2 linked regions of the Drosophila melanogaster genome follow. The protein of the gene in region 2 purifies or fractionates together with the protein of the main gene of each other region. This does not show direct contact. Each region holds a gene or a part of one and is shown on either strand. Other genes may lie near its edges.

Evidence for each region.
Region 1: the proteins of wdn (region 2) and Tim10 purify together in Drosophila melanogaster (affinity purification with mass spectrometry, with the first as the bait; one large-scale study listed by BioGRID). This does not show direct contact.

Annotation. Positions count from the first base shown.
Region 1 is NT_033778.4:21,689,405-21,692,769, forward strand, and holds Tim10 (translocase of inner membrane 10), read right to left. Parts: upstream 1,736-3,365; 5' UTR 1,706-1,735; coding exon of another isoform or gene 1,668-1,705; 5' UTR 1,597-1,667; coding exon of another isoform or gene 1,437-1,596; 5' UTR 1,385-1,436; coding exon 1,234-1,384; intron 1,071-1,233; coding exon 943-1,070; 3' UTR 811-942; downstream 1-810. Other genes in the region: CG10307 (uncharacterized protein), read left to right, coding at 1-464, 523-783; CG42497 (uncharacterized protein), read right to left, coding at 1,437-1,596, 1,668-1,705; CG42496 (uncharacterized protein), read left to right, coding at 2,292-2,576; Ppcdc (phosphopantothenoylcysteine decarboxylase), read left to right, coding at 2,592-2,766, 2,831-2,970, 3,028-3,288. UniProt on the Drosophila melanogaster protein: Mitochondrial intermembrane chaperone that participates in the import and insertion of multi-pass transmembrane proteins into the mitochondrial inner membrane.
Region 2 is NT_033777.3:28,807,352-28,813,442, reverse strand, and holds wdn (wings down), read left to right. Parts: upstream 1-2,105; 5' UTR 2,106-2,357; coding exon 2,358-3,373; intron 3,374-3,433; coding exon 3,434-4,638; intron 4,639-4,749; coding exon 4,750-5,138; 3' UTR 5,139-5,460; downstream 5,461-6,091. Other genes in the region: Prp39 (pre-mRNA processing factor 39), read right to left, coding at 1-738, 957-1,048, 1,289-1,328; CheB98a (chemosensory protein A 98a), read right to left, coding at 6,010-6,091. UniProt on the Drosophila melanogaster protein: May belong to a complex set of multifingered proteins which play an important role in gene activation or regulation at early embryonic stages through a maximal accumulation of their transcripts (or protein product) in the mature oocyte.

The sequences.
Region 1 (3,365 bases), on a different chromosome or scaffold from region 2:
GCAATAACATTAGTAGTTTGCCACCCGAACTGGGATACCTCACTCAGCTGGAGACGTTCTGGTGCAATAATACTGGGCTCCTGGAGCTGCCCAACGAAATTCGTAACTGTGAACACCTCGAGACGCTGGGCGTACGGGGAAATCCCTTGAAGAAGTTGCCCGATGCCATAGGCGCTCTGTCCTCCCTGCGTTGGCTAACAGCCGAGGGCTGCGAACTCAGCGAAGTGCCACTGACCATGGCGTTGCTGGGAAATTTGGTGCATCTGAATCTTAAGGGGAATCGATTGCGACGGCTGCCCAGGATGCTGATGGCCATGCAGAAGCTGCGGTTTGCTTTTCTCAACGAAAATTGTATTGACGAGATGCCCACGCGGTCACAACTGGAGGAGTTGCGGACTCTTCACATGCTCAACCTGTCCAAGAATCCCATCAGCCTGCACCGCGATCTACAGCTAATGGCTTTGGTGAAGCTCCAAATTAACCTTTGTGTTTCTTTTTGTTGAATTTCTCTGAATTTTACAGCGCCAGACGAACCTTTATGTGGAGCTGCCGTCAGATCCCGCCAATATTTGCGATGGTCTCGCCAGTCGAGCTAGCCTCAACGCCCAGGAACAGCAGGAGGATCAGGCGCGAGGAGCAGGACAGGATCTAGACTCCTCCGACTGGGCGAACAGCGTGCGGACCAGCGAACTGGACACAACGGACGAGAGTGCGCTGGAGAACAACATCGAGGATCTGAGTGTCATGCTGCCGGAAATGTCGCGCTTTGTCACCACCTTTTGAATGCATTAATCTGTGTCAACGAGGTCTGATATTATGTAGCACACATAAATCTGTGGTTTATTCTCTACAACGGGGTGTTTTGTACATGTACCTCTAACAATCGTAGCGCTTCAAAAATGCACATTGGTTAAGCGGAAATGTGGGTTAATGGGTGCCAGGTTAACTAGACATCTTCTTCATCAGCTCCTCGTCCTGCATGGACATGGCCGTCAGCTTCTTGCCGATCTTCTCGTGAATGTCCAGATATTTGGCCACACAGCGATCGATGCACACCATCTCGCCTTTGCCTGTAGGGTGCGGAAAGCATTAAAATTACAAGTGTAGAATTGTGGTACAAGTTTCAAGATTTCTATTTAAATTTCATCAATCGAATCAAAGAGAAACCTGAAGTGATTGTCATAGAAAGAGCTGCGAACTAGATACAGCATTCTATATGGCTATGGTACTCACCCAACTCCGACTCGGAGTAGCGCGGCGGAATGCACTTTTTGTGGCAAGCGTTCGTCATGCGGTTATATAAATCGGACATCATTTCGATCTCCATTTCCTGCATCAGCTGCAGCTTGGCCTGGTCTGCGGTGCTGATCTGGGGCAATGCCATTGTGTGGGTGTGGGTGTGTTACTGATGGGTTTTAGGTACTGGATGCTGCCGCTTAGTAATCGAATCGCCTGTCCGATGCTGCGCTTGAGTCGTAATCCCCTTGGTTTGCCTTCCTCATGCGCTCACGCACTCGCATGCTCTCGTAACGCCGGTTCTCAACGGATCTCTTTGACAGCACAAATGCGTAGACGCCACCCACGGTCAAAACAGTCCTGTTTCGGGATTTTCAAACACCATGTAGTAAAGCTAAGTGTGTGTAACTAAAAACGATTTTTCTACAAACCAACAGACAGCGATTCGCCCTGCGTTGCCCAACGACATAGCCTGCTACGAAAAAACGACACACTAACGCGTTCCGTTGGAAGGTGTGCGGGATTTTTTATCACTGGCACGTGTGACAGCTGTCACATAGGGTTATTCCTTTCAATCGAAGTCACTGTATTGGGAAACTGTGATTTGAGTTGGTTCGGAATCAGAGTGAATCTGTATTGCTAGGTTGATTTGTTTTCTGGAACTGTACTTATTTATCACTTAATCAGCCAAATTACTTTATATGTTTGTCAATGGCTTTAATATAATTTAAAAATTGCAAATTTTAAATGCTACATGTTAATTATCAGTATCAGTGATAAATATGTTAGCAACATTGTGAGTATTTATTGCTTTAGCATATTTAAGATTTTGAATTTCATACTTGAAACCTTATTCATTTTTTTATCTTATAAGATTCTCAATATTTAAGTTCATATAAGATTTGAAAGTGACCTTTGTAACTCCGAATGTTTTTCAACTTGTGGTTCCCAACATTCTCTGGTCACACTGACTTGCTGTTTACACAATTATTTCGTAATTTTAAGTCATATTTTATCAATGAATTAAGATAAGGAGCGAGCAGAGCAACTCACAAATGACTTCGCAGATCTACAGCCAGAAGAAGTTCGTGCCCACGCCGCCCGAGAAGGGTTCCTTTCCCCTGGACCACGAAGGTCTCTGCAAGAAGCAATTCCTCCTCTACGCCAGTTGTCTGCGCAAGAACGCCCAGGATACGAGCCAGTGCCGCCAGGACGCCCAGAACTACCTGGCCTGTCGCATGGACAACAATCTTATGGAGAAAACCGAGTGGTCCAAGTTGGGCTTTCACGACCAGAGTACCAAGACCGATCAAAAAGAACCGGAGGTGCAGAAGCAATAGCCGGCATTGTGAGCCATGAAACCCGAACGTAATGTGATGATAGCGGCCACCGGAAGTGTGGCCACCATTAAGTTAGCCCAGTTAATCCGAGAGCTCTCCGACGAGCGCCTACCCTTTAAGTTCCACCTGAAAGTACTTATTACCGAAGCAGCCAAACACTTCTTTGAACTGGAGCAGATTCCCGAAAATGGTAGGTTGTCTAAATCTTCGGGTATTTGTTAACTTTAACTAACAAACTATTGCATATATTGTAGTACCCATTTACCACAATCGCGACGAGTGGATCACCTGGAACAAGCGAGGAGATCCTGTACTCCACATAGATCTAGGCAAGTGGGCGGATTTGTTGGTAATAGCCCCACTCAGCGCAAACTCTCTGTCCAAAATGGCCACCGTAAGTTTGGGTCGACATTTTACCCAGAACATTATTTCAGTATCTTTTTTATGACAGGGGATTTGCGATAATATCGTCATGTGTGTGGTGCGGGCCTGGGACCTTGAGAAGCCGCTGCTCTTTGCACCTGCGATGAATACCCGTATGTACGACCATCCAATAACTCGGGAGCAGATCGACAAGCTGACCAGTTGGGGCTACAAGGAGATACCCTGCATATCCAAGACTCTGATGTGCGGTGATACTGGCAACGGCGCCATGGCGGAGGTACCCACAATTGTGGAAGCGGTGTTATCCGCCTTTCAGCCGATTAAATAGTTATGCACACAAAGTTTATATCGCAGAATATTTTGTTACAATAGTTAGACAAATAATATGGAATTGGCTATGAAATC
Region 2 (6,091 bases):
GCTTGCATCCTTATCTTCGGTGCTCTTAACGCTTTCGTTTTCCGCCTTGCGCTTCAAAGGTGCCTTGGGCTCAGTGGCGGTGTTATTGTTATTACTGGCGGGCAGTTCATCCTCCGAGATTACTTCAGCATCCTCTGGCAATTCAGCCCGCTGCGGTGCTGGAAGCTCTTCATCGGAAACTTCCTCGGCATCATTTATTTCAGGCTTGCTGGGCAGAGGTAGCTCATCCTCGGAGACTATCTCTGTGTTGACAATGGTTGCATTGCTGGTGTCCGCATCGGCCAGATCCTCGGCAATGGCATGTTGTGAGCTGGAGTCCTCAGAGGAATTCATTTTCTCCATCTGCGGCTGCAGGGAGTCTACATTGTACTCAAAGTCCGCCTTCTTGACATTGTCACTCTCGTCATTTCCACCCACGGAGGGCAGGCTGTTGGCATTATCGCCGGCTAAAGAAGCCAGTAGGGTGTCCACGCCAGCCTGACCGCGTGTCTCTTTAATATCATCACTAGTCTCTGAATGCAGCTCCGCCACCGTGCCAAACGGGAAGGAAGAGCTCTTTTCATCAACCCCAGCAGCTTCGGCTGGCAGCATTTCCACGTCATCCTCTATCTGGTGCTGAGTCTCCTCGAATTGGGGCTCCAAAGCAGGTGCCTCCGCAGTGTTTGTCCCTCTAAAGGGCTCCTCCTCTTCCTGAACCATGACCACTTGCTCTTCGGCCTCCTCTTCGTGGTCACTTAGCTGAAAGGATTAAAAGTCGTTAATGAAGGTTCCCGGCATTTCTCAGAGCATTTGTGGATGCTGTGCCTTCAGTTGGCCCTTGCAGGTAATCACTCGCTCCTCCAGGGAGAAGAATCATGTGCGGATGGAACAACGCCACACCCACACTGGAAATTGCAATCGTTTACATCATTGGCTGATGATCTGGAAGAGGCGGTAACTACGTGGGATGAACTGACCTGTACGTTCCGCTTGGATGTGCGCCGGGTGCTTCTGGTTGGCAGCGATGCAGCCGGGGATGCGGCCTTCCGACCAGAACGTGTGCGGCGACCTGGAAAACGTCAATTAACTTTCTTGGTTAATCCATGCGGTTTACATAAACTGTACGCGCGGTGTTGTGGGTTGTTCGCTGCCTCGTGATGTTCACTTTTTTCCAAATGCTTTAATGGGCTGCTCCAGCTAACTGTCAGTGTCAGCTACCGAAATGGGCTAGTAAGGACTGAATTTTTAATCAACGGTCACTAGGTCCGGTCGAAGGAATGCACGTATTTGTAATTTTTCATCAATTTACCTGGACTTTCCATAACAACGTTTTCGCCCTCTGACGCCATATTAACATTGCAACGTGGTATCGATATACATGTCCCGCCAATATCGATATCTCTTTGTTTGGTCAAGACTGACGACTGACTCATAGCTATATTTTGAATATTTTTCAGAGGTTTTTCGAATTTCGATATTTATCATTTTTTAGCATTGATGAATGAATTATATACAATCTATCAAAAAATATAATTTAATAACGAAAATAGCCTAAGTGCTCAGTGTTTTTCCAGTTCGGCGAACTAGTTCATTTTTTGGCGTGCGCATGCAGAACCTATCTCAACATACAAATTCTAGCAGAAATTACATGTTCCAGCTAGAAATATAATTTAAATATTTTATGGTAAGAGGACTTTAAATATCACCATAAATAATTCTTAATGAAAGAAGATAAAATTTGTTTAATGTTACACATATTATAAATTAGTGGGTTATTAAGTTAACATAAAAAACATAAACAAATAACACAATCATTGGGCCTACTTCCTTTAATATTTAGGGTTTGAATGTTCAATGCATAGGATTTTAAAAGCCCAAAAAATTGTTATAGTTTCTATACAACATAATCGTGAATTATATCAAGTAAATACAAACATGTAAATGGAATTGGTAAGTAAAATGTTTCCTTGTCGGACAAGATTTCTTTTTGAGTCAAGAAATCTCTTTAAATGTTATTTAGAATGGTGAATCCAGTCGTGAATTAAATATAGCTAATAACCCGCCTGGCGAGCATCACTCTTAGCGGGACTGCCACTCGTGCGCGTCTTCTAACACTGTTCTCAAAATGGCGACTCGAGAATTGTAAGCGTGACAAAAACAACAAAGCCAAGGCGCATTTCACAATAATTAAATGTTTTTCGATCAATTGCGGCGCGTTTAATACAACGAAAGCGATCGCGATGAGTGAATTGGGGACCCAGTGACCGGGCAACGGCGACCAGTGAACGCAAAGCGTCAGCGGCGCGGCGAACAAAGACAAAATACGGCGAGCGAAAACGCCGACCGCATAACCTGTACGTGTAAGCAAGGCAAGGCGAATGGAAGGCGGCAAGGGCGAGGGCAAGAGAATGAAAGAGGAGGCGCCAAGCAAGAAGTTGCCGCCTAAAATCTACGGCGGCGATGCGGGCACCCCCACGAAGGCGGCCCACGACGAGATACTCAGCTCTCTGCTGCGGATCAACAACTTCGACTCGATATCGAGCATCAAGGACGAGTCGCTGGACATCGATCTGTCGGCGTGCGTGACCATCAGCTCCGCCAGCCTGGTCAATGGTAACAGTCTCTCCTCCACCGACTTTTGGCGCGTTTTGGACGAGAGTGCCCAGAACAACACCGAGCTGAATCTATCCTCGGACGTCTGCCGCGATGACTTGGCTGCCACCAGCTCGTCAACCGTGCCCAGCACTCTGACCAGTGATAACCACTCCAGCTCGGAGTTTAGTGTGACTTTCCTGCGGCCCGAGCCCCCGAATGCTTTCACTAATTCCCCGTTTAAGAAGACTTCGTCCAGCGGCACCTCCACACCCGTAAAGCTATCGCCCGAGCAGCTCCACCAGCAGCATCAGCTCCAAATGCCCCAGTCTCAGCTGCTGCAACGCAAGCCAAAGCTGCCGGCGGCGACGGCGGTGCGTCTGAAGGTCTTTAAGGAGGAGCCGCCCGAGGAGAAGCATCCGCCGGAGCAAGTGGTCACCAAGGTAGAGGTGTGCGAGTCTGAGCTGCTGCCGCCATCGTTTACCATATTCCAGCAGGCCAAATCGGCTGAATCGGTGGCGGATGCGGCTAGCATGCCGCCTCCGGCTGCTTCGGAAACGAAGCCGTTGGAGGTGGACCCGGCACCTCTACACAAGTGTCTCGACTGCAACGGACTGCTGCTGGAGACGCCCGATGAGGTGGCCAAGCATGAGGCGGCCGCTCACAGGCTGAGGCTCACCTATCGTTGCAGCGAGTGCCAGCGGGAATTCGAGTTGTTGGCTGGTTTGAAGAAGCACCTAAAGACGCACCGCACCGAGGGCCGCAAGGACACCTGGAAGAAGTGTCCTGACTGCGGCAAGTGGTAAGTGTTACTGCAAACTAAAAATAGTTATTCCTATTGACCATTTTACTCTAACTTTAGCCTCAAATTGGGAAGCATGTGGATGCATCGGAAGATTCACAGCGATAACAAGAAGTACCAGTGCGACATCTGCGGCCAAAAGTTTGTGCAAAAAATAAACCTCACGCACCACGCACGGATTCACTCATCGGAGAAGCCGTACGAGTGTCCCGAGTGTCAGAAGCGATTCCAGGAGCGCTCACATCTGCAGCGCCACCAGAAGTACCATGCGCAAACGCGTTCCTATCGTTGCGAAAAGTGCGGCAAGATGTACAAAACGGAGCGCTGTCTCAAGGTCCACAACTTGGTGCATCTTGAGCAGCGACCATTCGCGTGCACAGTGTGCGACAAGAGCTTCATCAGCAATTCGAAGCTTAAGCAGCACTCCAACATACACACAGGAATGCGCCCGTTCAAATGCAATTATTGTCCGCGAGACTTCACCAACTTCCCCAATTGGTTGAAGCACACGAGACGCCGACACAAGGTGGACCACAAAACGGGCGAACACCTCGAGAACATTCCCTCCTACTGCTCTAAAAAGTCCACTACAAACAAGGCCCAAAAGGCAGCCGCGGCAGCAGCAGCAGCGGCGGCAGCATCTTCAGCTGTGAATCCCAACGAACTCTCCGCTTCTAGTGAACTTAAAGCCAAGGCTAATCTTACGTCTACTGCTGCACCGGCTCCTGCAAAACAAGCGCGGAAAAAGAAGCAGCCGCAGCAGGCCACTCTTGCTGCATTGGGAATAACTCTACCTGCCGGTACTGCTCTGCAGCAAGTGCATCCTGTGCCGCTGGCGCAACAGCATCAGCAGGAACTTACCACTGTGCTGGTGCCGCTGGCCCCGCCGGCTCCTAAGCAGACCAAAGCCAAGCGAGAACGAAAGCAGCTAGCACCGAAGCAACTGCAGCAAAAACCGCAGCTGCTGCAACAGGGCCAACCCCAGCAGTCCAGCTTAGAGCCCATTCCTGCTGTGCCGCAAATCAAGAAGGAGCCAGTGCAGACTCAGGGTCCGTTCCTTGACTTACACGGTCTTAGTCTGACTTCAGCCGAAGAGCTGATCATGGAGCAGGCCCTGGAGATGGAGGAGTGCGGTCTGTACGATGCTCCTAATGCAAACACTGAAATGGGGACGTCGGACAACGCCATTTCCGATTCGGCCGCTGCCCTGCACTTCCAGATAAAGAATGAATTACCGGACGAGCTGTTGCCAGACGATGACTTCTGTAAGTTTCTAATGAAAATGTCCTGTTTTATGAATTGATTTACCTAGTTATTCGTATAAAATAGTATTCCTTTTAAAAACTTTATATTAATTTAAAATTTTATATTTGTAGTGCCTTGTAAGCCCAGCGACCGACTACCTTGCCCCTCACTGGAGTCCTCGCCGTTTTCGTCACCCGCCTCCATGGAGCTGACCGCTGTCTCATGCGCCTCCAGTGTCGCCATATCGACGAATGCTCTACCAGTGCGATCTGGGAACTACTATCTACCCGCCTTTACGCTGAATGCACACGGAAAGCTTAGTAGTACGGGCAATGGTGTTCAGTCTGTGACCACGAGCTTGGCCCAGACACCCTCTGTGTCCATGGTGAATGTGCCTCTTCTGGTGAGATCCAATCAGATGCTGCCCTCAGTTGACACGCTACTCTTCACCAACCAGACAGGCGGAAGTCGATTCTTTGCGGGGAAATCGGCGACTGCGGCCACGCCGCATCTGACATGATCGGGCGGCGGAATCTGCTGCCTGCCAACATCAACGCCTCAACGATCTCCTGTGTCTTAGTTAAGTTAGCAGTGTCGACCATGTTGCACCAGCGCAATTGGGCGGTCGCGGACCGATGGCAATCGATTAAAAGAATACGGAATTGTTTCCCGTAGGTAATTAAGAGTATGACGCTACATTTGTTTAAGTAATTGACGTAAGCTGATTTCTGCATAGCCCGTAAGTGTAATTGAGTGTACATATAAACGATTATATATAGATACATAATGATAGATCTTTAATTTGTACGCTTCACACCAATAATAAATTTCGTACATATTTTAGTAAACATCCCATCATTTCTTGCAAATTGGAACCGTTCCCTTCTTTGCAAAGGGCGTAATTTAAATAGGTCGCGCTGTAATTCGATGCAAATGGGCTTAGGTTTACCATCTATCTAAGAAGATCATTCACTGTCCAAGTAGAAGAGTTTTAAAAGTAGCTGGAGAAGATGTGGGATAAGCCAGGTATAAAAGACTTAAGTTATCTGTTCCGAAGAGATACTCACAAGGGCTGAATACCTACTCAATCGCAATCACGAATTGGTTTGGGTGGCTCAAAATGGTGAGCAAAGCCTGGATTGTAAGTATTGTTAAAACGAATATGAACTCCCCGTACCGAGCACTGTATGTTTTGATTGTAGTAATTAACCTCCACGTTTCTAATATATATACGTACTCAATCTGATCGTAGTTCTAATCTAAATGAATCCTATCAGGGCAACCCCAAAAGCTTTAATACTTGAAGCCACCTTGTTGTACGTTGTTTTATTTAATTTATTAACGTTACTTCCATCAGTTGTTGAAATGTGTATGAAACCATCAGCTACACGTTAGTTCCTAATCTTAAAAACATCTCCTATTACTTCGCAACAAATGCTGGTGGGTCTCTCAGTTCCCTTAGAGTCGAACGCT